4 linked regions of the Notamacropus eugenii genome follow. The main gene of each other region encodes a partner of the protein of the gene in region 2 in a complex. Links are inferred from orthologs where the notes say so. Each region holds a gene or a part of one and is shown on either strand. Other genes may lie near its edges. The genes, in order: SAG, RHO, GRK1 and GNAT3.

The links.
Region 1: the proteins of RHO (region 2) and SAG are in contact, whole or in part, in a crystal structure (PDB 4PXF), measured with the Bos taurus proteins. The link is inferred for Notamacropus eugenii from reciprocal best matches to the Homo sapiens genes RHO and SAG. Residues at the interface, in NP_001014890.1 of Bos taurus: Arg135, Val138, Val139, Lys141, Leu226, Glu249, Val250, Met253, Met309, Asn310, Lys311, Gln312; in XP_010802144.1 of Bos taurus: Asp71, Ile72, Met75, Gly76, Leu77.
Region 3: the proteins of RHO (region 2) and GRK1 are in contact, whole or in part, in a cryo-EM structure (PDB 7MT8), measured with the Bos taurus proteins. The link is inferred for Notamacropus eugenii from reciprocal best matches to the Homo sapiens genes RHO and GRK1. Residues at the interface, in NP_001014890.1 of Bos taurus: Lys66, Lys67, Arg69, Thr70, Arg135, Val137, Val138, Val139, Lys141, Ser144, Asn145, Phe146, Arg147, Phe148, Glu150, His152, Leu226, Thr229, Val230, Ala233, Gln236, Gln237, Glu239, Thr243, Ala246, Val250, Met257, Ile305, Tyr306, Met309; in NP_776598.1 of Bos taurus: Leu6, Glu7, Thr8, Val9, Val10, Ser13, Ala14, Ile16, Ala17, Ala18, Arg19, Gly20, Asp23, Ala24, Glu184, Asp185, Trp186, Phe187, Leu188, Asp189, Phe190, Val192, Arg195, Glu200, Gln205, Met206, Lys207, Lys221, Arg222, Thr256.
Region 4: the proteins of RHO (region 2) and GNAT3 are in contact, whole or in part, in a crystal structure (PDB 4A4M), measured with the Bos taurus proteins. The link is inferred for Notamacropus eugenii from reciprocal best matches to the Homo sapiens genes RHO and GNAT3. Residues at the interface, in NP_001014890.1 of Bos taurus: Leu72, Arg135, Val138, Val139, Lys141, Thr229, Val230, Ala233, Thr242, Thr243, Lys245, Ala246, Glu249, Val250, Asn310, Lys311, Gln312; in NP_001103452.1 of Bos taurus: Ile344, Asn347, Leu348, Lys349, Asp350, Cys351, Gly352, Leu353, Phe354.

What each region holds. Positions count from the first base shown.
Region 1 is NC_092873.1:60,271,048-60,278,860, reverse strand, and holds the start of SAG (S-arrestin), read right to left. Parts: upstream 3,022-7,813; 5' UTR 2,777-3,021; intron 955-2,776; 5' UTR 895-954; coding exon 829-894; intron 1-828. UniProt on the Homo sapiens protein: Binds to photoactivated, phosphorylated RHO and terminates RHO signaling via G-proteins by competing with G-proteins for the same binding site on RHO. May play a role in preventing light-dependent degeneration of retinal photoreceptor cells.
Region 2 is NC_092874.1:431,909,417-431,916,338, forward strand, and holds the start of RHO (rhodopsin), read right to left. Parts: upstream 3,019-6,922; coding exon 2,658-3,018; intron 157-2,657; coding exon 1-156. UniProt on the Homo sapiens protein: Photoreceptor required for image-forming vision at low light intensity. Required for photoreceptor cell viability after birth.
Region 3 is NC_092877.1:207,271,236-207,278,109, forward strand, and holds the start of GRK1 (rhodopsin kinase GRK1), read right to left. Parts: upstream 3,016-6,874; coding exon 2,314-3,015; intron 1-2,313. UniProt on the Homo sapiens protein: Retina-specific kinase involved in the signal turnoff via phosphorylation of rhodopsin (RHO), the G protein- coupled receptor that initiates the phototransduction cascade.
Region 4 is NC_092874.1:157,595,516-157,603,328, forward strand, and holds the start of GNAT3 (guanine nucleotide-binding protein G(t) subunit alpha-3), read right to left. Parts: upstream 3,010-7,813; 5' UTR 2,957-3,009; coding exon 2,839-2,956; intron 1-2,838. UniProt on the Homo sapiens protein: Guanine nucleotide-binding protein (G protein) alpha subunit playing a prominent role in bitter and sweet taste transduction as well as in umami (monosodium glutamate, monopotassium glutamate, and inosine monophosphate) taste transduction.

The sequences.
Region 1 (7,813 bases), on a different chromosome or scaffold from region 2:
CCAAAATGCAGCAGGCCCCCAAATCCTCAGGACTCATCCCTTAAGTCCCCTCTCATTAATTGAGGAATGACTCTGAGCCAGTGGATTTCCATCGTTGAGTCAGTTTGCTGGAGAGTAAGGAGCCCTGGGGCCATTACTGGCTGTGTGACCTTGGGCCACCTTCACCTGTCTGGGCCTCAGAGCAGCTCCCTGCTCCCACATTCTGTCACTACCATTCATGAGCCTTCCCTCCACAAGGAAGGCCCAGCTCCTTAGCTCTTTGTAGAGGTTCTTGGAGACCCCAGGAACCCCAGGGTCATTGATCTGGAGCTGGAAGGGACTTTAGAGGCTACACTTTTATTTGACAGATGAGGAAACTGAGCCACAGAAAAGTCAAGTGACTTGCCCAGGATCATACAGCTGTCTAAGGTAGGACTTGAACCCAGGTCTTCCTAACTCCAAGTCTATAGGTCCAGTAGCTATCTCCTTAGCTTTCTGGCAAGGACCCCCAGGCCACAGGCCCAAGGTTCCTGTTTCCTTCTGCTCCCTCCTATCCCAGGAGGCCCCATCCCATCACTTCCTCCTCTTCCTCCTCCCAAAGTCTAGGCTCCAGTTTAGGGGTTTCTGGGCTGTGGATCCCCTTTGTCTGTGGCTCTTATTTATTTTCTCCACTTGTCCTGAAGCTCCCAGAGAGTTAGTCATCTTTGCCTCCTCCCCCTCCCAACTCAGGTTGCTGGGATCTTGGGTGTTGCACGAAGTAGGCGCTCAGCAGATGTCTAAGGAGCTAATAAAGCAGCCTGGTCATTCATCCTGAGCCTCCCCCCTTCCCCCAGCCCCTGAGCCACTCACCGACTTGTCCCTGGAGACCTTCTTGAAGATAACGTGGTTTGGGGCATTCTTCACCCCGGTTGCCATCTTGGAAGGGCTTGTGGGAGTCCTTCAGGTGTCAAAGAGTCCTCAAAGGCAAGCGACGGCCTTGGATAAAGGTGCAGAGACAGGCCAGCTGAGATGCCAAAGGCAGGCTAGTGCACACATGTGCTTCTGAGAAGTCCTGCTAGCCTCAGTTTCCAAAAGCCAGAACCATGGAGTGGGATCATTGGTTGTGTGACTGTGGGCAAGTCACTCAACCTCTCAGTGCCTGCCATGTCTCTGACCTGTTGGGGCTCACAGACTCCTAGGGTTAGAGCTAGGAGGAAATCAGATCAAACTCCTTTCTTTTACAGATGAGGAAAGTGAGGCACACAGAGAAAGAGACACACACATTAAGTGACTTGTCCAGGGTCACAAAACAACCAGGATCTAAGGCAAGATTTGGTTAAGGAGCTGATCCACTTTGGTGGACAGAATATCCACACTGGGAATTCCCGACACTAAATGAAATCTTAGGTCTGGATCAAAAAATATTTAGAAACAACCAACCCAAAACTCCCAGCAAACAAATCCTAAACTACCCTCAGCTCTTCCTTCCTTCCTCCCTTCCTTCCTTCCTTCCTTCCTTCCTTCCTTCCTTCCTTCCTTCCTTCCTTCCTTCCTTCCTTCCTTCCTTTTCCTTCCTTAATAATTATATTTTTAATGAACAAAAATCTATTTTGTTTCTCTCTCAAATTCCCTCCCAATGAACGATAAAGAGAAAAAACCCTCATAGCAGATATACAGTAGTCAAGCAAAAGACATTCCCATGTTTATCCTCAGCTTCTAACAGTAGCTGGAAAATAGATCTTTTATACAGTTTGATTTTTAGGCAGAATGTCCTTAAAAAGGAAAAAAAAACCTACTTTACTAGTGTGGCACAACGGGATGACATTCTTGAAGTGGCTATCTCTGGGGAAGGTCTGAGTTCAAACACCACCTCTGACCCCGGCTGTGTGGTCAGGGGCAAGTCCCATAACTTTGCTGAACCTCTTGGGAGCTGAGCTGGTAGGACAAGTCTCTGCTGACATATTTGCCTTTTCTTATAAAACCTCAACAAAATGGACCTAATTGTGGTTCTGAGAAGTGGCAGATTCAAATGAGAAGATCTGGTCTTTGGATTATCCCCTTGGCTATGGCACATTCTTTCCTACCAGACCAATGATGGAAAAAAATCACCAGCCTGAGATGCTGAAATTCAGTATGAATTTCAAATTTAAAATCCTTGTGGATAATAAGGATGTCCCAGAGAACCAGAACCCATCACACAAAAAAGTATTTCATGCAGAGCAGCTCCCAGTCCCCCTTTCTTCTTTCCCTTCCTGATTCCCAATTCATTAGAGCACTGAGCTGTCTCCCAGCCTTTTTTGATCATGCATACCAGTGGTAAACCACTGTGGAGAACGTACCACCAATATGTGCACACTGACATTTAAATTAAATTATATTATTACACCATCTACAAAGACTATTGCATGAATTATTACTTAGCATTATAAAATTCATATGCAAAATAGAAATTGAAAAGGAATGAAATCATATTTGATTCTAGAGACAATAAGAAAGTTTAACAAGCATGGTAAGCAGGGTCAGACCCAGGATTTGTCTTCGCATGCTGAGTGGTGGTTCATGAGCCCCTTGGGGTTAGGCTGTGGTCTGCTGGGTAGGTATAGCCCCAACTTCGGACACCTCTACAGCAGCCCACCAAAGGGAGTAGCCAGCCTAGGTAACTTCACCTGAAGATCCCCCGAAAAGCCAAACAAGAGGAAATAAAACCAAGAAGTGGGGAATTTATTCAGCAACTTTGACTTCCCTTGGCCCCATTCAGATTTCTTGCTACACCAGTAACATCCATTTAATGACTGATTTACAGTATCTTGGTTTTTACCTGGAGTTCTGCTGGACCAGTAATGGCAGTATGGAGGCTCAGGGATTCGGGTTCGTCTCTTTCCAAGTAAGCTAGTGCTGTTCAGGCGGGACAATGTTCATGGCGGCCCTTTCCCTGAAGTGGATGAGAGTGAAGCCTCCCAAAGGATGAAGAGGGGAATTTGTAGCAGATTTGGACGGGCTGTCTAATGAGCTAGGCTGTGGCTGTTTAGGAGATAATCTCATGCATGGAACAGAACACAGGACCTGGATTAGCCCCTGAATCAGCAAACTGCTCTCCTCAGCAGTTCTGAGCATTAGCCAAGGAACCTCTTCTTCCCCAGCTCCATCTTCTCAGGCTCACCTCTCCAGTTGGTGAGGGAGGGTGAACATGCCATGGGGGTGGGGCTAGGAGGTAAGGTGGAGAAATGAAAGCTATTTTTCTCTTGTAAACCTCTTTGGTTTCTAGAAATAGATTGAATTCGCTTTCCTCATGAAGCCCCAGTAGGACAAAAGACTTGAAAATCTTAGGCTTAATTAGGCTGAACTAATGCAATGCCATTTTGAGGTCACTCATTTTAATAAAAAGGTCAGAAGGCGTGCCAGCCCCATGGGTATCTTAGCAGTAATAATTAGCTTGTTTCACTCATGAACCATTGCCAAATTCTCTTACAAGCTTTACCTGAGTATCAGCCACAGATGGATGATCTTGGACAATGAGGCTGGGCTTCCTGGAGTCTTCTCTGACCCCTAGGATTCCTGTGGTCTGAGTAGGTAGTGTTCATTACCACAAGGTGCAACCTTAACTAGGAAGAGGCAACGGTTCTCATTTATTTTAAGAAAAACAAATTTTAAAAATTTCATATTGCAAGTAGAATAAAAAACTGGGCTACACAAAACCACAAATTTCTAAGAAGAGCTTTCTTTAACCCCACAAAGTATACGATTCATCATGTTCAAAGTTATTCATTCACTGGGTCTGTTTCCTTCAGTTTTCTTCAATGCATTTAAAAAAATGCAGTGACCTCCTTCCTTCCTTCCTCTCTCCCTCTATCCTTCCTTCCCTCCCTTCCTTCCTTTTCTTTCTCTTCCTTCCTTTCTTTCTCTTTCTTTTCTCTCTCCTTTCTTTCTTTCCTCCTTCCTTTCTTCCCTCCTTTCTTTCCCTTCCTTCCTTCCTTCCTTCCTTCCTTCCTTCCTTCCTTCCTTCCTTCCTTCCTTTCCTTCCTTCCTTCCTTCCTTCCTTCCTTCCTTCCTTCCTTCCTTCCTTCCTTCCTTCCTTCCTTCCTTCCTTCCTTTTCTTTCTCTATTACTAGCTTTCCCCTTTCCCCAAAAACCTGTTCCCTCATGAAAAAAGAAAAACAAAACCTTCGAAGCCAATAAGTATGGCCAAGAAAAACAAATCCACCAACTGGCCATATCTGAAAGTGCTGTACCTTGGGCCCATCACCTCGTGGTTAGGAGGTGGCATCATTGCTTCATCAAGGCCGCTAGATGGTGCCATAGTGCATCAAACATCAGACCTGCAGTCAGGAAGTCTATTTGTGAGTTCAAATCTGACTTGCTAGTTGTGTGACCCTGGGCAAGTCACTTACCCCTGTTTGCCTCAGTTCTCTCATCTGTCAGATGAGCCAGAGAAAGAAATGGCAAACCACTTCAGTATCTCTATCAAGAAAACTCCAAATGGGGTCATGAAGAGTCAGACACAACTGAAAAATGACTAAACTGCAAAAAAATCATGCTTCATCATGGAAGTTGAGAAATGGTCAGTCATACTGATCAGCGTTCTTAGATCTTTCAAAGCCGTTTTCCTTGGCAGTGCTGTTACTGTATTAACTATTCCCTTGTCCATTTCACTCCACATCAGTTTCATGTAAGTCTTTTCAAGTGGTTACTTTTTATGGCACCATAATCTCATATACTTACATACCATAACTTTTTTTCAACTTACACCCTTCATTTCTAGTACTTTGCCTTAACACTAAGAGTTGCTATAAATATTTCTTGCACATATGGATCCTTTGTAGTGTCCCTGACCTCTCTGGGTACATAACCTAGCTGTGGTATCATTAGGCCAATGGGTATGGACAGCGCAGCATTTTTGGAAATGATCCCAGATTACACCCTAGAATGGCTGGACCAAGTCACAGATCCAACAGTTGAGTCCCCCTATCTTCTCATGGCCCCTCCAATAATTGTCATTTTCCATGACCGTCATTTTTGCCAATCTGATAAGTAAGATGTGGAACTTCAACTTGTTTTAATTCGCATTTCTTTAATTATTAGCACTTTGGAGCATACCTTAATAAGGCTGTTGATAACATGGATTTCTTCCTTTGAGAACTGCCTGGTCATATGTCTTGATTATTTATCAATCAGGGAATGGCTATAATTCTTACATATTTAAATCCGTTATATATCATGGATATCAAACCTTTAAATGAGAGACTTGCTGTAAAGATCCTCCCTCTTTTCTTCACTAACTACTTCTCTTCTAATTTTAACTGCATTTTTATTGTGCACAAACTTTTCAATTTTATAGAACCGTAATTGTCCATTTTATCTTCTATAATTCTCTACCTAATTTGGTCATGAACTCTTCCCACACTCATAGGTGCTGAAAGTCCTTTATTCATTGCTCCTGTTTGTGAAATGACTTTTAAAAAAAGAACTGGGTTATATATCTATCTGGAGATTGTTGTATATGGTGTGAGATGTTTGCCTGCACCCACTTTCCAGCGGACTGCTTTCCAGTGTTCCCAGGAGTTTCTGTTGAATCTTAAATTCACATCCCTATTATTGAGATCTTTGGCTTTATTTTTTTCTGTATGTTGCACATCTAATCTGTTGTGCTGATGGACAGTTCTCTTTTTTAACCAATACCAAAATAGTTTAATAGTTTTCTTTGGTTACTACTTTTTTGTGTAGTTTGAGGTCTGGCACTGTTGGACCCCCTTCTTTCCCATGTTTTTTCATGATTTCTCTTGAGAATCTTGTCCTTTTGTTCCTCCAGATTAATTTAATTACTTTTTTGATTCTAGCTCTCTCCATCAGTCATTTATTGCTATGACACTGAATAAGTAAATGAATGTACGTAGTAATGCCATTTGTATTATACTGGTATGGATTAGCTATGGGCGATTACTATCTCTTTGTAAAGAATTTTGTAGTTGTATTTACACAGTTCCTCTGTGTTTGGGTTAAAGTGAAGTCTTAAATAGAATGTACATTTCTGAATGGAATTTCTTCATGTATTCCTCTTGGGTTTTATGGCAATATATAGAAAGGCAGATGCTCTGCCTGGTTTTATTTTATATCTTTCTGCACCAAAGTTATTTCTATTAACTGAAAAATAAAAATAAAAAATAAGAGGGAGAGCAAGGGCCAGTATTATTCTTGGCTTCCTGAATCAAATGGGATCATGTCTAAGTTTCCATTCCAAATTGAGAGAAAGAACCCCTGGATGGCTGCTGATGGGCCAGGAGAAGTGGTTCCACCATCTGCTGGCTCTCCAGGTGCCTGGGAGAAGGATGGCATTTGGTGAGGAAACAAGCAGAAGTGTCCATGATCTCTTGCCTCCATGCCTGGGATGCATTTTCTCCCAGATCTCTGTTTTCCTCCAAAGGTTAGCTCAAATATCATCTCCCACAAGAAGCCTTGCCTGCTCCCCTTCCTCTGTCCCTTTCTAGACTGCTCCTCTATTGTCTATCTTTTACATTTACTTTTCTTTGTGTACATTCTCCCTTTCCATCTCCCATTACCCTAAGAATGGTTCTTGTCTTCTTGAAGGTAGAGACCATTACATTTTTTACTTATTATCTTCAGTGCCAGCACAACCCAGCACATAGTAGACACTTAATACTTGTTGAATGACAATGGATAATTGATTATCGGGCATTTCAAAGGGATCACATCATTAAATCTCAAACATGAAATGACATGGTTTGACACTTTTGGTCCATGGGAGCATATGACAAAGCCCCATCCATCGATTTTGGACACATAAGTCATGAAAAACATACTAGCAGTGCGAAGTTGGCAGCATTTGCTCCATCTAGGCTTCATCTCTGACAATTCAACAGCAATCCAGGGTGAAGATGATTATTGTAAGTGCTCAAGGGAGCCTTTTCCTTCAAAAGTTAAGCTTAATAGGACAGTTGCCAGAAAAATAATTTTTAAAATCTTTCCCTTTTCTCAAATCTCCGCAGTAAAGTAAAACAATTCCCAGCTCAGAAGTCTTAGAGTTTGCTGAAGTATGACAAAACAGTGAGGTGAATCTGGGCAAATCTATCACATCGAGTGCTCTGGACAACCTTCTAAGACAAAAATCGCATGGTTATCAGGGAGGGAGCTCCTCACAAAGATGAAGTCATAGGCCTGGACTGCACCTTTTCTCCCACACCTCCAAAAAAGCGGGCTATGATTTTTGCTGACATTTGGGCAAAAAATCTTGCTTCTGTGAAGAAGCGTGCTTCCGAGCTTTTCACCTCTATTCCTTCAGTCCTGGCATACCGAAGGGCTCTGATGTTTTAATAATCACAACGATTTCCTTATAGATTCTTCAGTTGGAAGGGACCAATCATCTGGCCCCATCCATGCCTCACCAGGAATCTCTGCACAACATTCTCAACCAGTTGTCCAGTCTGTTTGAAGAGCTCTGGAGAAGGAGCCCAGGGCCTCCTGAGTAGTCCAGTCCACTCTGAGACAGATCAGTTAGCAAGGTTTTTCTTCCTGTCAAGCCTCAGTTGGTCTCTTTGCAGCTTCCTCTTGCTCCTCTCTCATTTCTGGGCCCCAGGTTTGCCCTCTGGGGCTAAATAGAACCAGCTTCATTCCTCTTCCAAGTATGCAGATAGCCATTAAAGTAGGTGTGGGGGTGGGAGAAGGGGTGTGTATGACTGCTGCATAAACATCCGTTCCAATTAATCCTCCCTCCTATAGGCAGGGTCGTTGGCATCTTCGACCTTTCCATTTGCCCCTTCCTGGACCCTCACCATCTCCATAATCTCCTTCCTAAAGCCTGGTGTCCCAAGCTGAACCAAATACTGAAACACTAAAAAATTCA
Region 2 (6,922 bases):
GGAGGGGTGGAGTAGAACAAGCCAGAGCCATGACCCAAGTGAAGGCGACCCCCATGATGGCATGGTTCTCCCCAAACCTGAAGTTGCTCATTGGCTTGCAGACCACCACATATCTCTCAATGGCCAAAACCACCAAGGACCACAGAGCTATTTCACCTGAAAGATACAATAGAAATGTTTCCAGCTTTAGAGGACCCAGTAGAAAAGCAGGGAGGATGAAAGAAAGGACAAAGAGAGGGAGAGGAAGGAAGGTTGGAGTTCAAGACCCAAATAAATCCGGACATTCTCTTCAGCTCCCTCATAATATTATGCACGATCAGCTCAGTACAAAATTGGGCAAGAGGCAAAATTTCTTTTTCTGCCTTTCATACCCCCACCCCCATTCAGCACCATTTATATCCCAAGTTCTAAAAACTTTCCTGCTGCCCTTGGCTCCAACCCCTTAGCTTGGAAGACATCTGATAAGGTTGCTCTCTGGGAGGTATTAGGGACTTAATTAGATCCTTGCTTAAGGATATTTGCATCTTTAAAGAAGACCCTGGGAAAGAAAGGGTAATGTTTAACCCAAGGGAACAGTGGAATTTCAGGGTCAGGGATCTTTTCTGATCACACCTCAGATAGCATGTGATAACTAACCATTCAGAGACCCTCTTGTATCTCTTCCACCTTCTGGATGCTCCATCACTAACTAAGAGGTAGAAATGGTCTGTTATTCTATATAGAGAAGGCAAGCTGGAAGAAACTGAGACTGTCCCTTCAGAGGAACTTCCCCAGGGATCTCAGCTGTACCCTTCTGTGGCACTCATCCACCCACACCCATATTCCTCTATTGATCTTCTGCCCAGAAGTAGCCCAGGTCTAGAGCTCAGGGGAGCACAGCAGATTCCTACCCATTAGAACTGTTCAAAAATGGAATGAGCTACCTCAAGGGTTGATGAGTTTCCCAACTTTGAAAGTCTTCAAGGAGAAGCTGGAAGACCACTTGTCAGAAATATTTATAGAAGGGAATCTTTTAGGGTATGGGTCAGATGAGAGAGTCAATAAAGTCCCTTTCAATTTCAGATTCTTTGATTCTGTGATTCTCTCTTTGTCTAACAGGCATAATCACAAAATCCTTTCTGAATGCAAAACTCTGGAGTATGCCACACACAGAGATGAGAAAAGACTGCATCCCTGATCTCAGAGAGCTAATAACCCATTGCGGGATGTATGAAAACACAAGCAGACCAAGCAGCAGGGTGTAGACAACTGGATTTGTACTCAGAGGACCTGAATTTTAATTGCAGCTCTTCTCCTCTCTAGATGAGTGCCTTGGACAAGTCTCTCTGACCTTCACTTGCCTCCTTTGTAAAATGAGAAGGTTAAACTTCATAATCATCCAGATACAAATCCTATAATCCCATAATCTATGGAAAACACCTGAAGCACACACTTACAGGGTAGTAACTCCTGTGTGTACCTAAAAGGGCACTGGACCCAAGTTCCACTAACCTTGGATCTAGCCCTGCCACTGGGCATCCTTGGGCAAGTCTCTGGGTAGGGATGGATGTCCTGGAGCCAGCTCCAACCAGCTAATTAGAGCCAATGGCTAAATTTTCAATGTGACCATTTACATCTCAAAAATCTATAAACCAGGGCTTGATCTGTTTGTGTGTGTGCGTGTCTAAACTTAAAAAAATGATGCAGGAAAATGTTAATAATTCAGAGAACTGGTTGTTAAATATTTATCAGCACACCCTTGTCCTGAGACCTTAGTTTCTCTCACCTGTAAACACAACGAGTTGGAATAGATGATCCCAAAATTCCCTTCCAGCCCTAAGCTGGAATCTCTTAAGGTCCCTTTCAGCGTTAAATCTTTGAAATTGTGAAATAGCTCATGCTTCAAGCTTTCCTGGCAAAATGTTGTGAGTGGAAGGGGGATACATTAGCACTGGTTAGAGCTATGTCTATGTCAGATACCTTTACTGTTCTTTCTTCTCTCCAAATCATTCCCCTAAAGTATTTCATTGCTCTGAAAGAGCTCTCAAATACTCCCAGGTCCCTTTCCCATCTTGGAACTGACATGTGTTTGGGGAGAGGGTGGTAGCAACTAAAAAGAGCACTGGATTTCAAGTCAAAGGACCTAAGTTCAAATGCTGGCTTTACCCCTTGCTACCTGCATAACCTCAGACAAATTTCTTCCCCTCTCCTGTTCACAGCTGCCTCACCCGTAATATGACAGGGTTGGTCGAAATGACCTGTGCAACTATAAATCTTTTTTTAAATATTTCTTCCTTTTATTGATCTTTTTAAAAATATTTGTTTTTGATATATCCCTCCTCATTCTTCTATCTACTGAACCATCTCTTGTAACAACAAAGAAAGGAAAACAAGGCTTTCCTTTGAAAAGAAAGAGGAAAAAAAGCAGTTTGGAAATATTAACCAACACCATGACTGTATTCAACAAATTCATGCATTGTTCTACACCCATAATTCCCCACCTCTGCATTTAAGAGAAGGAGGCCTAGCTCTAAGCCTAGAATCTTCAATTCTGCCAGTATCCCCTATTTGACCAACCTCACACACTCAGCCCTAGTCCCGGAGATCTTCTCCTCCCTCTCCAACGATGGATAGACAGGAAGGGGATCTCTTCATCATTTTCCTAGGGAACCACTCACCTCCTGTGGTGGCGAAGAATCCTTCCAGGTTGCAGCCAGTGGGTCCAAAGACAAAGTAGCCGTGCAGGGAGGTATAAAGGGTGGTTGTGAAACCACCAAAAACCATGAAGAGATCAGCAACTGCCAAGTTCAGCAGGATATAGTTCAAGGGCGTTCTCAGTTTCTTGTGCTGAATAGTTACATAGAGGGTGAGGAAGTTGATGGGGAAACCCAGGACAATCAACATGAACATGTAAGCCGCCAGGCAGGAGAACTGCCATGGTTCGGCCAGATAGTACTGAGGCTCCTCAAAAGGGCTCCGCACCACACCAGTCTTATTGGAAAAAGGGACGTAAAAGTTGGGTCCCTCTGTGCCATTCATGGCTGTAGCGCTGCTCTCTCTGCCCTGGGCCTAAAGGGGACTGGCCACTGACAAGGACCTTCCTCCTCTCCTTCCCAGAGTGGGACAAGAGGCTAGATCAGCCACATTAGAAGGAACTGGGAGCTGTGGCTTGAGGTCCTTATAAAGTGACCCCCTCTGGGTAAGCCCTCCTTCTATGGAGTCAGCACCCAGAAGATTCAGGGCATAATTAATCATAATAATCCAGCTAGGTTGGCAAGCACTAATTGGCTTCCCTGGAAGGCACCAAGGTGACTCTTGTTAACTACAGAGACAGGATCTCTTGGAGTGGGAAAGTTTAGGCCTGAGACCCCCCAAGGAAGGGGTCCTGAGGAGTTGAGTGGATCTCATTAATAAGTAGCTCTGGGCCAAGGGTGTCCCATCAAGAAAGGAGAGCTAAAATCATGTAGTGCCTTGGCCAGGGAGCAGCTGTGTGATGCCTGAAAGAAACTAGGCTCAATTAAAAGAACACAAAAATGTTCCTCTCCCCTCGCCCTTGCAGTGTGACTGACTCTTATTCCCCTTTTATTTCCTGGGCAAGGCTGGAATGACCATTTATGGATCCCAAAAGACTGCATTAATTTGCTCAACTATTTTCTGAATGAAAGTGGCCTCTTAAAATGGACAGAAGGGAACAGAAGACCAATGAGACAGGGATGAGACGAGGTCTGGGTGAATGCGAAGCCCATCCTCATTTTGCAAAAGAAGAAGGAGATTTTGTCCACCCCGTCAGACGACTGTTTGGGAGGAGTGACCAAAACTGTTGCCATAGAAGGGAAAGAGGCCTGGATTAGAGAAGGTCCCAGAGCCTGGCTCTAAGAGAACACTCTGTGGACTCAGCAGCGCTCCAGCCTATCTGGGCCTCAGTATCCTTATCTGTAAAATGGAGAGAATACCTACTATCCTGATTGCCTCTCAGGCTTGTGGAGATGCTCCTCATTTGTGAAATGCACTTCCTTTGTGGAAAATGCTTCAAAAAGTACAAACAGCAGCTAACTTGGAGAAATTTCTTCAAGGTCTGGATCTACTTGGACATTTCCTACTTGTCCAATTACAGTGTTGGAGAGTTGCGTGAGAAACCAAGCAACTTACCTATTGAATGGCCCAGGGACCCTACTTGAACCCAGACCTTCCATCCTCCAAAGTCAGTTTTCTATCCTTTCCACCATGCTGCCTGCCACTCCAGAGAGAAAAGGCCGTGTTCCCTAAGCAAATAAATTCAGCTGCGCTTACTCCACCATTCAAGGCACAGTACCAGAAGCAGGATAATACATTGGCCAGAATGTTGTACTTCTGCTCAGGAAGATGGAGGTTCAAATCCCACTGCCAATGTTGACTCCTTCTAGCCTCAGTTTCCCCGCCTATAAAACAGATACAATAATACCTATGGTACAGAAACCACCCAATGGGGTTTTTGTGACGTTTAAAGGAGATCAAGTAATGAAAGCACTTTGCAAACCTGAAAGCACTATATGTCTATTTATTATTATTAATTATTAATGCTTCTCAAACATTTATCAGCTTTCTAGGATACTATAGTTATTTAGAGATAGGATACATCCACTCTCCTAGAATGTGGGCTTCTAGAGGACTTTTAGGGCAGCCAATCAGGCAGGGGCTGAGCAGCCCCTTCAATTTCCAGTTCTTTGTCACTGCAAACAGAGCTGATGTAAATATTTTTGTACATGTACATCCTCCCCCTCCCCTTTTCTTGTTGATGCCACCTAGTAGTGGCATCACTGAGTCAAAGGCAATGGCGTGCTAATGAATGTTTAACAACCGGCTTTCAAGATGGGGGGGATATATGAACAACATATGTTTAAGTGAATTATTAATATTTTCTCCTTTCTTAAGTCTAGAAAAAAACAATAAATGAAGGTATGATTTCTAACATATAAATGCTCACATTGAACATTTAACAATCAGCTCTTCTGCTCTTGGAGCTAGCTCCAGCACAGCCCTGGAAAGTAGATGCACAGTTTAATACTCTGGGGGCATATTTTCAAATTGCTTTCCAGAGTGGATGGACTAGTTCAGAGCTCCACCCACAGTGAACGAATAGACTTATTTTCCCACAGCCCCTCCAGTATTTCATACAAACTGACTCTAACTTACCTTTCCAGTCTTATTGCGCATTATTCCCCTCCAGCCCCTTATAGTTCAACCATGATGACCGTTTTGCTCCTATATACCACATCCACTGTAGGACTTTGGGTCAGTGTTCTTTGATGTCTAGAAAGCACTCACTTCACCTGCCTCTTAACGTTCCTGCTTTCCTTCAAGACTCATCTCAAATTTTCCATGAGATGCTTCCTAATTCTCCCCAGCTGCTAGGGCCTTCCTCTTCCACCCCCAGGTTATCTTGTACCTGCTTTCTTTGTGTGATACATACATACATACACACACATGTGTACAATACCTATATGTATATACATGCATACACATATGTGTTGACTGCATGTGTACATGTAGCTGTAGATGTGTGCACATATGCATATACATGTGTATTTATATGTGCCTGTGTGTGTGTGTTTTGTCTCCCCTGTTAGAGGATAAGGACTTTCATTTTTGTCTTTATAATTCCAGCATTGAGCACAGCTCTTAGCATATAATAGATACTTTTAGAAGTCTTGTTGGTTGATTGATTACATAAATGTTTGCTGCATGAGTGAATATAAAATGTTATTAATTCATCTAAGAAATACTGATTACCTAATATATTTAAGGTACTGTACCAGGTGTGGAGGGGGAGAAGATGAGAGAAGTATGTGTGTGGGGAGGAGGATACACACATATACGCACACACATACATACATATATATACATACACACACATATAGCATATAGCAAAATCCCTGTCCTGAAACAGCTTGCAGGCTAAAACGAGGAGACAAGGCAAGCATACATAAACATAAAAATAACAATAGAAGAAATATCACGAGGAAATTTTTAGACAAAAGTTTCCATGTGGGCAAGGTACATGTGGCCTGGGGTTTTAGGAAAGCTTTTGTGGAGGAGGTGAGATTTGGGCTGAGCCTTGAAGATTGGGAAGGATCCAGTTGGAGAAGGGGAAGAAAGTTTGGTGAGTGACTTGGCAGGGAAGTGGAACAAGGCAGCATGAGCAGAGGACCAGGGTGGAATTGTCATGCATGGTTAGGAACAGTAAATTTTCCAGTCAGGTTGGAGCATTGAGTCTCATTGGCGAGTGTTTAAGGAAAATCTAAGACACTAAGCCAGAGTGTGGAGGACCTTGAATGTCCCCCTGAGAAGGATGGGCTTTATCCTGTGAGCAGTGGGGAGTCACAAAAATTCAAAGTGTTCTTGTCTTCATTATTTTCACATCTTTGTTGTTGGTTACCCTCAACCTGGCTCATCTGCCAAGATGATCTGTGTGGTTGCTGTGTCTGCTACAGTTTCTTGGAACCACAGGTAAGAGATGGGTGACAGATGGGCACCCAAGGTGTATAAGCAGCTCTGAAAAGGGCTTGGCAAACCCTCACACCAGAGGTGGTAGTCTGCCTCAAAGCCATCAGTGAGTTAGAGATGTCTACCCCAAGCAAACAAAGACTTCCCCACATAGAATGGGCAGATGAGAACATTTGTTCCAAGGGCCATGAAGTTGGCTAAAGCAGGCACCATGGAGCGCCTAGAGTTTGGTCAGACATCAAAGATGCCAAAGTCACCTACTGCATCCTGGTCATCTTGACATCTTTGTCTTGCCACTGGACTTCACTAACTCTGGAAGAGTGAGGCTAATGACTTTGCACAACTGCCTCTCTTTAATCCAATGATGTCATTGGTCCTTTTCAGAAATGAAGAACAAACAGCAACCCTTTTGTATCTTTATGGAACTGGTCTCTGAGAAACTCATGAGACCTGACAGATT
Region 3 (6,874 bases), on a different chromosome or scaffold from region 2:
GGAAGAAGAAGGTATTATGGTAAGTATTGAGAGAGGGACTGGCTCTGGGATTTCACTGGCATGAGGAATTCCCATGAGAAGAAACTCTCTTTACCAATATAGGTCAGCATCTCCTCTGCAACTCCTAGTCTTAGAAAGTTGCTTAGATTCAGCACAGAGAGAGGTCAAGGGTCGTGCCCAGAATCACACAGACAACATGTGGAAGAGGCAGCCCTGGAATTCAAGTCTTCCTGGTTTAAAAGTCAGCTCCCTCTCCTTTATGTCAAACTACCTTTCTTGACCAGGTAAAAAGAATAATTATTACTTTTCTAAGATCCCATCATCAGAATTCTACAGCCTTTTCCTTGGAACTCATGTTTCCCTCGATTGATTTAATATTTTTGTCTTTAACCTCTTCAGTTCAGATCAATTGACCAGAGATATGGTCATACCAAGCACAATCACCACCTAGTTATGTGCTAATTCTTCTTTCTTCCTTCCTTCCTTCCTTTCTTTCTGTCTTACGGTTATAGACAGTCCCCACTCACCAAATAGTACTGGATTCTAGTACTGGATTCTATCTTTCTCCCTGTCATTGACTGTCCCCACTACACCATCTACTAGTGCACTATTTGTTTCTTTTTTTAGACCAGTCTCAGACGGTTCCTACTGCACTATTGAGTTGGATGTCATTTGTTGGTTTGTTTCTTTAAACAAGTCACAGACTGATCCTACTTACAAATTTCCTGCATTTGAAAAGTGCCTCAGTAATAGTACTAGTTGCCCTGAGCAACCTTTGGAGGAAAACAGAGCACCTCATTTGGTCAGATATGTGTCAAGGTCAATGGAAAGGCCAAAAAGATGTGTTTACAAGTCACTTTACAGAAATTAACAGGGACTCCTTCTCAAATGGAACATTGGCATAAGTGAAGGAGGAGTGGACCCCATGCAGCATGACCCCATCATGACATGGAACAACTGCAATTTTTAAAAGTTAGGATGAAATGTGCATTTCTTATAAGGTGAAGGTCAGTGTTGGTCTCTGGTGTCACTGAAATCCCTAAGAGGCAGATATGGTATAATAGATATAAAGCTGGACTCCTAGCCAGGAAAACCTGGGTTCAAGTCCTACCTGGGACATATACTGGTTTTGTGACTCCGGGCAAATTATTTAATCTTTCAATGCTCTGGGCAAATAAATTTTAAATTGCAGAAAAGGTGCCAATCTGTATTGTTAGAGGGAGTTTCCTCACCAGGAATTCCCTATTCTGATGAAATCACAGGTCCAGGTTTTATCCCTAGCCACTATGGAAAACTGTACCTCTCTTTTTAGAGCACAAAGTAAGTTATGATTGTGCTGAGTATATTTCCAAAACCCAGACTGAGGCACCTGGAAGAATAAGGCATTCCTCCAGCTATATTTCTAAGGTAGTAGTTTTAAAATGTATGTGTGTGTATATGTGTGTGTGTGTGTGTATATATATATATATATAAAATATACACATAAGTATATACATGTATGTGTATATGTGCATATATGTACATGTGTATACATATGTATACATATATATGTGCGTGTGTATATATATACATGTATATATACATATATAAAATAACTACTATACCGATATATCCTATGGGTTGGCCACAAACCAAAGTAATACCCAGATTACTTTTAAAACAATTGATATTAATTACAACAATAGAACTGGAAGAGGTGAACCATATCATCACTGGACTGGAAGGGGTGTTAAGAGGTCATTCAATCCATTCTCCTCCCTTAGTGATTTAGCTTTCAGTGTCATAAAACATCGAAACTCAAGTCCTATACCACCAGGTATGGGTATCCCATCTTAAAGATATAATGTATATTTTTTGGTCTGGACCTGTGATTTCATCTATGTAGGGAGCTCCCAGGTGGGGACTCCCTCTTCCAATGTAGAAGAGCAGCCACTCTATTATTCTGGGCACTAAGAGGTTAAATGGTTTGCCTACGATCACACTGCCAGTACATGTCAGAGTTGGAACTTGAATCCAGGTTGTCCAGATTCAAGGGCCAGCTTTCTATTCACTGTATCATGGTTGCTTCATTGACCAGAACGCTAGCCATGGACAGTTTGGCTACTACTCCAAGTCAAGATTGTCTATACCCAAAATGCAAGCCTCTACTCTGTATTAGAGCTATGTGAAGAGAGTGACTGAATTTCTACATCCCAGTGAATGTACTGCCATGCCCACTGCCCCACAACCTTGCCACCTCCCACTTCTGCCCCATCTTGGGAATCTCAAAGGCATTTACTTTGGACTTGCTGGGACCTATTTGCTGCTGCTTACTTGATACCCTTTTCTTTTCTTCAGCCTCTTCTTATTCAGTTTTTTACAGGCGTACATCTTGCCTGTGGCTTTCATCTGGCAACCTGACACCTCCCCAAAACCCCCTTTCCCCAGGACCCTGAAGTCCAAAAACCAGTCTTCCCCGATGGGCTGAGCTTCCAGCCACTTCCACTGCAGGAATCTCAAGAAATATAAGCTCTCCATGTACTCTTGGAAGGGAACCTCACTCAGGTAGTGCAGAGCTACTTCAAGAAGAGGTTGGAAGAGTCCATTGGGGATGCTTGAGTGTTTCTCCTTGACTTTCTCAACCATCCCTTCCTCCAGGAAACTGCAGAAAAGCTTGGCCTTAGGGTCCAGGTAGTCAGCAAGGATGCCCTGGGCTTTCTGAAGGCGAAAATCATCGTCAGCGGTGTCATAGTCTTCAATGTCCCTCCATAACTCGACTGCAGGGACATACCGTTCATCATTCTTTAGGAACTGTTGGAACAGGCGCTTGCCAATAGGTTGCTCAGAGCAAATGTTTTCAAATTCTAAGTTAAGAGTGTCCCGTAGGGATTCACATTTGGAGAGAGGAGGCAGTTTGAGCTTTGAAAGGTACTTCTTGTCCCGGGATAGATGCGAACTACCACTTGCATCGATACTGGCCCGGGCAGCTATGAAGGCAGAGTTGGCCACAACGGTCTCCAATGATCCAAAATCCATCCCTCAGGCTCTTCAGTCTCTGTGTTCACACATGAGAAGTCACGAGTTAAAGCTGAATTGTGAGAGGATCCTCAGAACTGATTTTTGGGGAATGACCCGTCCTTGGCCTGTGGCACCCTCCTGCCCTCCCAGGGGACAAGGGAGACGTCCTGTCCAGTGCAATGACCAAGGAAGAAGCAATGTAAAAAACAAACAGATCCCCAGGTTCCTAGGTAATGTGCAAGATCAGCACCTATGCTAATCCCTGGGATCCTTAGATATAGGTGGAGGTTGAATTAGATGTGATGAACCAGGGTCAGAAAAAGATAATTCTCCTGAGTCATCACCTTTGTAGCCTTCTTATCTGATTAGGCAGATAATTATTCTCATCTCCCTCTCTCTTTAAGATCATATTTATTTTGTTGCCTAGAAAATTTTGAATACTTTGGGTAACGTTCCTTGCAAGGCCACTTAAGATACAAAATACCCAGAAATCACCAATTTTTCCCTCTGATTCTGCATTCTACTTGGACAAACACAGTTGGACTCCCTACCTCGCTGTTCCGGTGTTGAAAAATATTAACATATTTGAAACTTGTTTAGTCAGACCCTTTGGAGGAGGGTGTTAAATAAACCTGGAAGATTAAATGCCTCCACGCAAGAAAATCCAATTAATGAGGTATTAACATAACTAATCAGAACCCCTGTCTAACTGGATTTTTATTTCTGCACTTTACTTTATGAGAAAGAAGAAAGTGAAAAGAAAAACCAGTGTCAAGAAGGTTTGAGAAGAAGAAAAAAAACATTTTAAATATACAATACCATTTCCTGGAAACATCCTGAATTTAAAAGCAAAGCATCATGCTCCAGCTTTTAGCACAGTGTTTGGCACAAAGTAGGCAATTTATGGATGTTTATTGATAATGGCAAGAGCCGCATTTGAGTTGTTGACTCCTCAGAATCAGGAGACCCATATCTAAATCCTGGCCTCATTGCTTAACCATGTGACCTTGGACAAGTCACTGAGGTACTCTGAGCCTCAGTTTTCTCACCCCATAGAATGAAGGAGTTGGATTAGAAGCTCACAGTCTCTTGCAGCAATAAATCTCTGATGTTACGATTTATAAAGTAGGGATATAAAATGGATGTTGTGAGGAAAGAATTTTGTACACGATTTTTTAAAATTGGAAATAGTGTTAGAGAGCCTATAGGAGACTAGGCACATGAAAATAGGATTAAGGTAGCTGTGAATTGGTAAAAAAACAAAAAAACAAAATCCCACACTTTTGTAAATTGGGAATTATCTGACAAAAGTCACTAAACTGTTCATACTGCTTAGCCCACAACCACTCCTCAGTATGTGCTCTAAGATCAAAAGAAATCCCTCATTTATACAAAATTATTCTTAAAAATATTAACATTGAAAGAACACATATGATGATAATAAAAATGATACTCTCACTGAAAGGAGTTAAACTCTGGTGATTGGCAATAAACAGTCCATCTTCTGGAAAACTGATAAGGAAACACATGTGTATTTCTCCCTTTTTAGTAAATATCACCAGTGTGGCAGTTTATCCACAGTGTGTTTGATAGGCAGATAGAAAACTCCTTCCAGAGGATATCAGTTTGGAGATGAGATCAGGGCTTTACAGATTATTTCAGAAATAGTCTGCAGAATACAGGAATGGGCTAGAGAATTAGAAAGAATAAAGAGGATCCAGGGTAGGGTTGGGAGATGATATGAATTTAAAAGTAGCAGGGTATGGCTATAAGTCAAATAATGGAGGTAAAATGCTTTGTTAACTAAGCACTATATTAATGTTAGATCATTGTTATCGAGGGGTGGATAATCTGCAGGACTGTTTGTGTCTCAAGCACCTTTCTAGTTCATATAGATTCAATCCCAGATGAGTCACAATTTTTTGAGGTGGAAAGAGTTCCTAACTGGAGACTTTCTGATTATGAAATCAAAGATGTTCTGTACATTCATGCATAATAAATATATAGGAGAGGTATAGTATAGTAAGAAAAAATGGAAAAAGCAAAGATTACTTATAGCTGAGGAAATCAGGAAGGTTTCATGGAAGAGATGACAAAAATTGACCTAGGACTTAAAAGAAAACAATTTAAACAGGTGGAGATAGCAGGGAGGCCATTTCATAATAACTCCTTACTGACTTGAATTTGACAAGGTTGCAGTGGATGGGGCCTGAAGTTAGAAAAACTCATCTTCTTGAGTTCAAATCTGGCCACAGATACTTACCAGCTGTGTGACCCTGGGCAAGTCACTTGACCCTGTTTGCCTCAGTTTCCTCACCTACAAAATGAGCTGGAGAAGGAAATGGTGAACCACTCCAGTATCTTTGCAAATGGGGTCATAAAGAGCCAAATGCTACTAGAAATGACTGAATAACAACTTGAATTTATATTTCTTTCTAACCTTCTCAAAAGTGAAAGAATGAAAATAAGCCTCGGTTATAGAATCTCACTCTGAAACCAGGTCTCCTGCAAAGTCCTTCTGGCTTAGGACATAGGATCATAGTCTGGGAGCTGGAAGGGAACTTAAGGGTCAAATTCAACCCCTTTTACAGATGGGGGAACTGAGACACAGGAGTTAAGGAACTTGCCCAGAAGCACACAGCTGGTAGGGGTTTGTGGCGTAGTTAGATCTTAGGTATTCCTGACTCCAAGTCCAATGCTCTATGCATTAGGCCACCCAGCTGACTTAGGATAAGAATACAAATTAAGAGAAGATATAATTCATCATCAAATAATGTCAAAGCTATCATTATGCATGAGTTGGCTAGCATAATAACATGAATAATATAAATACATTTAAGACAGCCTCCCCAACTCAGCTCAGGCACTTGTTTTAATCAGCACTAACCTTTAATCAGAACTCTTCGCCATAATTAGAGATGAAAGTTCCTTTGATTTCTTACGCTTCTCCACAAGAGGCTGATGAAGCGGTATGTTTGAGCAGAAAGGGTCACAGGACTTGGAGTCAAGGGAGTCCTAGGTTCAAATAAAGCCTCTGACGCTAGCCATGAGCAAAGACAAACCTCTCCGAGTCTCAGTCTTCTCATCTGTAAAATGGGGATGATGATGCCTGTAGCCTCTCCCTCACAGGGCCATTATCTGGAGCAGATGAGAAAATGCATGTAAAGTATTTTGCAGACTTTGAAGTATCATATAGATATTAGGTATTATTATTATTATTACAAGGTGCATAGGAAGTGTGGTATAAGGGAAAGACCACTGGAATCAGGCAATTTAATTTCTAGTCTTTGCTCTGCCATTTATTAACTGTCCTCTGAGCTTCCATTTTCTCATCTGTAAAATGGGGATAATAAAGTAGGCTCTTTCTAATTTAAAAGGTTGTGATGAAGATTAAATGTGTGATCAAACTAAAATCCACAAATGTTTTCCCACCTAAGAAGGACAGGCCTCTCCTTCCTTCTTTTTTCCTATAACAGAGATTTGCTGTTCAGTTGTTTTTCAGACATGTTTGACTCTTTGTGACCCCATTTAGGTTTTTCTTGGCAAAGATGCTGGAGTAGTTTGTCATTTCCTTCTCCAGCTCATTTTACAGAAGAGGAAACTGAGGCAAACAGAGGTAAATGAGTTGCCCAGGGGCACACTGCTAGTAAGTGCCTGAGGCCAGATTTGAACTCAGAAAAATGAATCTTCCTGACTTCAGGCCCAGTCTTCTATACACTGTACTGTGACAGAGATTAGTTTTCCCTAAAAAGAGACAAAAGAGGTTCTATGTTTCCCTTGCAAACTTAAGGGCATAAAAAGTCCCATATGTGTGCAGTCAGGGACCTCGAATTTGATAGATTTCCAAAAGCCACATGAGTCACTGTGTCCTTCACCA
Region 4 (7,813 bases), about 270 Mb from region 2:
CGTACTTGACATCACTTAAGAACTTTCTTAGAATACTTTGCTAATTTGCTCTTGACTACAGAAGCATGACAAAAAGAACCCAGATCGGATCCAGAGGAGAGCAATATAATACATTACAATCCATTGTGTTAGGGTGAAGAGCCACTATGAATAAAGGAACTGGGTTCATTTAGTTCAGTAGGCAAGAACTATATCTGATTTATTTTTGTTTGTTCCATAGCCCCAAACATACTACTTTGCACACAGCAAGCACTTGGACTGTTTGATTTTTAGAAAGGAGAATATTGAGCAGAGGCTTTTAAAAATAGGATCATAAATTTAGAGCTATGCACGACCTTAAATGCAATTGAGTCCAGTCCTATCCTTTTGTGGATGAGAAAATTTGAGAACCAGAGAGTTTAACAATTTGCCAAGCTAGTAAGTGTCTGAGGCTAGATTCAAACTCAGATCTTTCTGAATCCAAGCCCTGAGCTCTAGTCACACACACACACACACACACACACACACACACACACACACACACACACACACAGAAAGAGGAGAGATTATTTAGCTCTGTAGAATTTTCATTTGTCCACTTTCTTTAAAAGAATTGGATTTTGTCCTGATTAATTCAGCTCTTTGGTAAGATTTTTCACAGGTGAGAAGAATTATGGCTACAAAAGGAATAGCAGAGATTTAGCTTTTAGAAATAATTATAAATATAGGTTTCGTGCATATTATTTGTTCAGTGTGAAAGAAAAGCACAAGAAAGGAAAAACATTTGTTAAGCACCTACTATGTGTCAGGCACTATACTAAGCCTTTTTCAATCATATTTAATGTGATAATCAGAAGAACCCTGGAAGGTAGGTATTATTACCCCCATCCTATAGCTGTAAAAATTGAGGCAGAGCTACCTCTAAAAATACCCTGGTGAGCATGAGATGACTGGTCTTCTATTCTACTCTGATATTTGTGTGTGTATGTGTATGTGTGTATGTATGTATAGTTAGCTCTGTGTGTGTACATATGTATGTATGTATGTATGGTCAACGGGTGATGAAAGGGGAGCTTAGACATAGGTTTTCCTTCTTCTTGGGCCAGCTTTCTCTCCACCAGTCCAGATGGGACTTCATAGTAGACTATTAAAAAATACTGCAGCCTTGAACAAAACAGGCCTTTCATAAATATTGATTAAATGAAGGCGCGAATACAGAGGAGTGTTGTGATCATGCTCACAATCAAAGAATCTACATTGAGAGAAAAAGAAAATGATTTCTTTGACTTTACAAACCACAGTTTTTGTGGATCCCAAGGTGAGTTTAAAAAGTAGCCTCATTAGTCAGGGATAAAACTGGTCATAATTATAAATATACACACATGATTTTTATACTGGTATAGACATATATATATGGGGGGGTATACATTCGTGAATGTTGTATATAAATATGCACAAATAAAATATTTATATATATATATATACACACACTCACATACATACATACACATATACATATAGCATTTTTAGTGTGAAACATCCCAATTCTTAAATTTAAATGAAAAATCCAATGTTCTATTTCCTAAAATCTCACCAAGAAGTAGTATTTTACTCCTTTCCATCTCTATTGCCTTCCTGCCCCCATGCCCCCTGCTTCTTTTAATACATGTCTTGAAAAGGGATGAATCAAATCCACTTCTTACATCAGAATTCCAATTTTGGAAATCTTTTCATCATACATGTTTAATACCAAGCATTTGTCACAAGTGACCATTGAAGTGAAAAGTGCAAGATTCAGGCAAAAAGTTAAACAGCATATAGCTCATACATGTAAGACTTTCTTATTTGTTCTTTCTTTCAAGGCCTGGGTAGTAAATAAAGAGTAATAAAATGACTTTGTTATTTTGTAAGACAATTAACCCAGGATATCTGTGAGAAGAGATGAATTTAAAATGCGTTCATTTTGATGCTTCTTAGCTCGTTCTCTGCAAGAATTTTGGTTCAAACTTCCATTAAATTACACATTCTATTTATGGCATTTAATTAAAGACATTTTGAATGTAACAAAAATGAATTTAAAAGATATATTATTACTTATAGAGCATCATAGATTGAAATGATCAAATAAGATAACATACACTGTTTTTCAAATCTTGAAGTACAATATTAATGCTATTATTAATTATTAGAGAGAATAGTTAGGTAACACTATATTTTCCCTACAAAATTCAGTTTTCACTAAGGAAGTACATAGTCCTAATAAATGTTTGTTTTTTATGTCTTTTGTTTTTCATGTCTACGTGTTCAATAATATCTTTAAAAAGATCAACATTTGAATTATTAGAGTATTATGAACACACACACACACACACACACACACACACACACACACACACACCCCATAACGCAATATGTTTGTTCATTTAATTTTCAACTTCTAAAATCTGACCAATAGAGAATGAGGTGAATGAGGGGAAATTCTCAAAGTGAAAATTGTGACAGTATGTTATTCAGTGGATAGATACTCTTAACTCTGGCTGCGTTTATTGTTGGTCTGTTAATATTTGTTCAAAAATAAAAACTCACATATGCCATCTAAAGACCTTAAAGAGACATGAGAAAAACATTTAAGCTATTCTAGCTTTACTATTTTAGCTTTCTAGACAATTTAGGCTGTATTTTGATAAAGTCCCATAAATAAAATAATAGAAAATATGATTTTTCATATTTCACAAAGCATGTGATATATAGTTGAAGATCTGCATTAATATTTTATATAAAACTTTGCAAAATGTTTACCTTTGAGACTAAGTTTAAAACATGGAAATTATTCTTAATATGAATTAAGAGAAATATTACCCAATAGGAGAAGCTTTACAGTTCGGGCATCTCGCTCTGCATCTTCCTGAAGTTTTTTCTCAAGTTCCTTTGATCTTTTGGCTGATTCCTTACTCTCAGAACTTATTCCACTCCCCATGTTGAATTGTTGGATAATCAGTTTATTCTTTAAAAATAAAATATTACAACCAGTTGCACAGCTGTAGGCCAAATACACAGTGTGAGAAGAGTACTATGCAGAAGTCCCAAACTGTCTCTCCAATCATCTATCTATAGGTCCTGTTTTGACTAAAGAATTGCTTTCCAGTCTGTCACCTGACCCAGGGAATCTGAAGGGGAAATTCATTAGGCTTTCAAATTACATGGCACTTTAGTGATCCTCTGGGGAATATTTCTTTGAGGGTGAGGGTTGATGGGGAGTAGACTAATTATATCCACTAAAAGAAAGCATGCCGAATCTGGATAGCACCACAACTTTAAAAAAGAGCCTCAAATGTGAAAGAGCTTTGGAGATGGAAAAGTGTTTCCTGTTTAAGTGGTTCACTTTCTTCTTTTTTTCCAGAGTGAAATGAAAACTCTAAAGTCTAGTGGATCTGAAGTCAGGAGAACTGGGTTTGGATCCAGTTCTGCCACTTAGTATTTGGGTGACGTTAGGCAAGTCAATGAACTTCCCTAGGCTTCAGTTTTGCCATTTATAAAATGAAGGTGTTGGACTAGATGATTTCTTAGTTCCTTTTTAGTTCTAAATGTGTGATTCTATTATCCTATGACTCTAGAAAGAGAAGTGCTAAAAATGGAAATGATTTATTCTATGAAAATAATATTGTTACACAGATTTTTTGAAGATTATGGTATTAATGTACGTTTAGATTTCATAAACACATCATGACAATTTATTGTAATTTCTAATTCCTGAAAGATGTTTGTTTGTTTTTTTTAATTCCTCAGACTTCATTGCATCTTTCACTTAAACATGCAGGAAAAATAGAAATACAATTCTTATATTTTTATGTGGTTCCAAATTCCTACAAATATGGTATTCATCAGTTGGGGCTACTAAATTCTTGATTTTTGTGTTTAAATAGTCCATCTACACCAGTTGAGTCTATCACTGCGTCTGAGAAAGTCAACTCATTAGCATTCACTGAATGTTGATTGTGTCTGGAACGCGGCATTATTACTCACTTTGGGGAGTACATTAATTCTGACTGGCACTAAAGCACCAATTGCTACATTGGATGAGATAATTTCTTAATTGGAGCCAAATGGTGTGGGAAATATAATAGTTTTGAATAATTTTTTTTCTTATAGATAAAAACACCATATACTCATTTGTATCTTTCCCAGGCTTCCCATGTTATACCATATTGAATAAAATAGAAATTGAAAATCTAGATCACGTGAACTTAATATTTAAAACACAAGAAATTTTCATAAAAATAAGGTGATGCTTATTTAACCTAAAGTTTTCCTCCCCATGTACACAGTTGGGTCATGTGAAATACATGTATATATGTATATATATATATAGAAAGTATATATGAATGTATGTATATATGTATATGTATATATGTACCATGTATATTTAAATATGTGTAAATGTTCATCTGTATAAACACATGTAAATAATTTATTGGCATAGCACTTAAAAGTTTCTAAAAGCACTTTATATACATTATCTCATGGGACTGTCACACAACCCTGTGATATACTTGCTATAGATATTATTACCCCCTCATTTTACAGATGATAAAGCTCATTGACAGAGGGTTTATGAGTTGCACTTGCAATATAAGTAAATTTCTGAGGAAGGATTTGAACTATCATTGTCTAGACTTCCATCTGATACTTGATCATGCCATCACTTTGATTTTATATATATATATTTATATTTATATATATGAATGCATATGTATGTACATATGTATATACACTACTCACATGTATGTACATGTAAGAACACATGTATGTATACATTACATGTCTATACATATATAACTATATATTCATATATACTCACATTTATAATATATTGCTTTAAAATATCATGGCATTTCTCTTGATTGATAAGAACAAAAATGTTTTAGGCAATGGTCATATACTCAGCCTAATCATTTTATATGAAAAAAATAAACAAAACAGGAAAGTATATTTAACTTAGCACCATATTTTCTTGCAATATGAATATGCAAAAGCCCACCTGTTCGAACAGAGCACCTGATTCCACAAGGAATTGTGTAAGCAGACAGACAAATGTAAATAGTAAATTCTGATAACTCAGGAAACATAAGAAGAATGTACGCATTAAAAGAGTTTCTTTAATGCTCAAATCAAAATCCCCAAGGTAAAAGGAAAAAGAAAGAACATTCCAAGAAGAGGGAAACCAAAGTGTCTTACTTAAATATAGGAATAAGAAGGCTACAAATTGGTGAATACTTGGAATGGAAGAAGACTGCAGATCTTGCTTGGGGTCTTTATCCTAACCAAGTAATGGTGAACTGGAACAACACAACATAGTTATTCATGTGCGTGCATAATATAAAAGAGCAGGCACTACCTGGGGGAGTCTGGTTCCCATTGGTCATATGCTTTAGTCCAATAGTCAATATTTCTCCTTAGGTTTAAAGTGGGTTATCCCCGTTTACTCCATTGCTTCCCTTCACTGATATACACTGTAAACATGAGTTTATGATATAGTTTTCTAATGAAACTCAAGCCCCCAGTCCTCACTCCATGATAATGGAGCAGAGAATCCATTTGCAGAATCAATGTAAAAACAACATTAGGAATTAATATAGTTCTTTAAGGTTTGCACAGCACTTTATATCTATTATCTTACTTGATCTCCACAATAACCCTGTAAAATAGTTGTTATTACTATACCCACTTTACAGATAAGGACACTAAGAGAGACTCTGAATGACTTCCAGCCTCTCTGAGAGGCATAAAAGGGATGTGACTTGCTTTGGGTCACACAATAAATGTCTAAGGCAGAATTTGAACTCAGGTCTTCCTGACCCGATGCCCAACATCTAACTACTACAACATAGGTTAGCCCCCCAGTGGTCTTTGCTACCAGTTATTTTGTATAGACACAAAATGTATTTGACTGTTTTCACTCATTTGACTGGTCAATCAACCTTAAAAAATCAATAACAGTGTTAATTTGACTGGGAGACAACATGGCACAGTGCATATAGTAATTGACAGAATCAGAAGTCTCAGTTGCAAATCCTGCCTCTCATACTAACTTTGTAATTATAGGCAAGTCATTTAAATTCTCTTAGGCTCACTTCTCTCATCTTTAAAATGGGGAAATAATTATATGAGGGGACTAAGTTCACACTAAAGACTATGGGGCCCTTCCACATAACTTGATTCTGAAACTTATAATATTGTCTCCCTTTTTAGAATGCAAACTCCTATTTGAATCCCTAGGGCTTACCACAATATCTGGCACATAAAAAGATTTAATAAATGCTGTTCCAGTCATTTATTCATCCAACTATCCATCTATCTATCCATTTATTTATCCAGTCATCTATTCATTCCTTCATGTACTTCCTGCTCTAAATCTATGATCTCATAAGTGAAAATTTCATGGCATCCCTGTGAAATGGCAAAAGGTTAGATTCCTTTATTCAGTTCACTACCCATACATACAAACAGATGTATTCTTATACCATTGGAATACATCATTGCGAATAGCTGGGCATGGCCAATACCAAATAACTTTACAAAATTGGGAAGAACTGTGCTTCATAGTTATTCTATGTAGGAAACGATAAAGATTGAAGTCATTGAATCTCTACAAGTAGTTGGGAACAATTGAACTTTAAAATAAATCTCTCTCTTGTATATTAGCTCTAGGCTTTATTGCCATAATTAGCAGTAATAGGAACTGGACCCGGGATAATGTTACTATACGGAATTCCCAGATGAGGAGAGTACCTCTCTTCATGCAAATGGGCCTTGTTTCTGCAACACATAGTTCTCAGAACACTGCAGAGCCTTGTCCAGGCTCACAAAACCAGTCTAGATCAAAGGAACAACTTTACACCAACCTTTCCCCACTTGGAGGTCAGCTGTCTGTCTACTATATCACAGGCACCATGCATTCACCATGGTAGCAGTATACTGGTTGAACACTTCATGGAATTTTCATTTAGGTAAATGTGTTGTATTTCTTCATTAAGGACACACTATCATTCAAGGGTCTTGTACTGTAAAAACATTTTCATTCACTTGGTTTTCACTGTTTAGTTCTGACTGAACTTTATTGTGTTAGTCTGACCTCTTCCTGCCAGCAGATGATCAGAGAGATGTTATTCCTTCCTTCTTTCTCTGCCTGTCTTCTGGCCTGGTCTGGGCTACCTGCAAGGATGGGAGAGAAATCCTATTTCATTTCCTCTATCCAGTACTCATCTCATTGTCTGAACTTCCAAACATAAAGGGAGGACACCACCTTGAGACTGAACCCCTAGTGATGTTAATAACATTCCTGATTTTATTCAGCAATAATTAAAACGCTCCCAGCCAAAATCTCAGATGCTGATGCTCTGGATGCTATAGAAATCCTATTCTCCATCCCCCAGTGCCCATTCCCTAGCTTCATCCCCCTCAGCACTACCTTCCCACTGTCACATTCTAAAGGTGCTCACCCTTTCCACTGTGTTCAGTGAAATAATGTCCTCCGTAGGTTCCAAATTGACTTTCATTTTAATCTTTTTCTTTCCCACTTATTTCTTCTGATTCTCACTCTGAAATGACTCCCCTCCTGATAAACAGTTTCTAGCCACCCTTTTCAGCACTGGTTGCACTTTCCTTGACTCCCCTGATTACTGGTCCAGGTGTGGGAATTGGAATCCTTGATCCCATTGCCACTTCCAAACTCACTTTCTACCATCATCACTCAGTCACCTCTCTTTCTTTCAGGTTAACCGAATCCATACCTACTATCCCATAAAAATCATGGTAGTTGTTGTCTATCAACCTC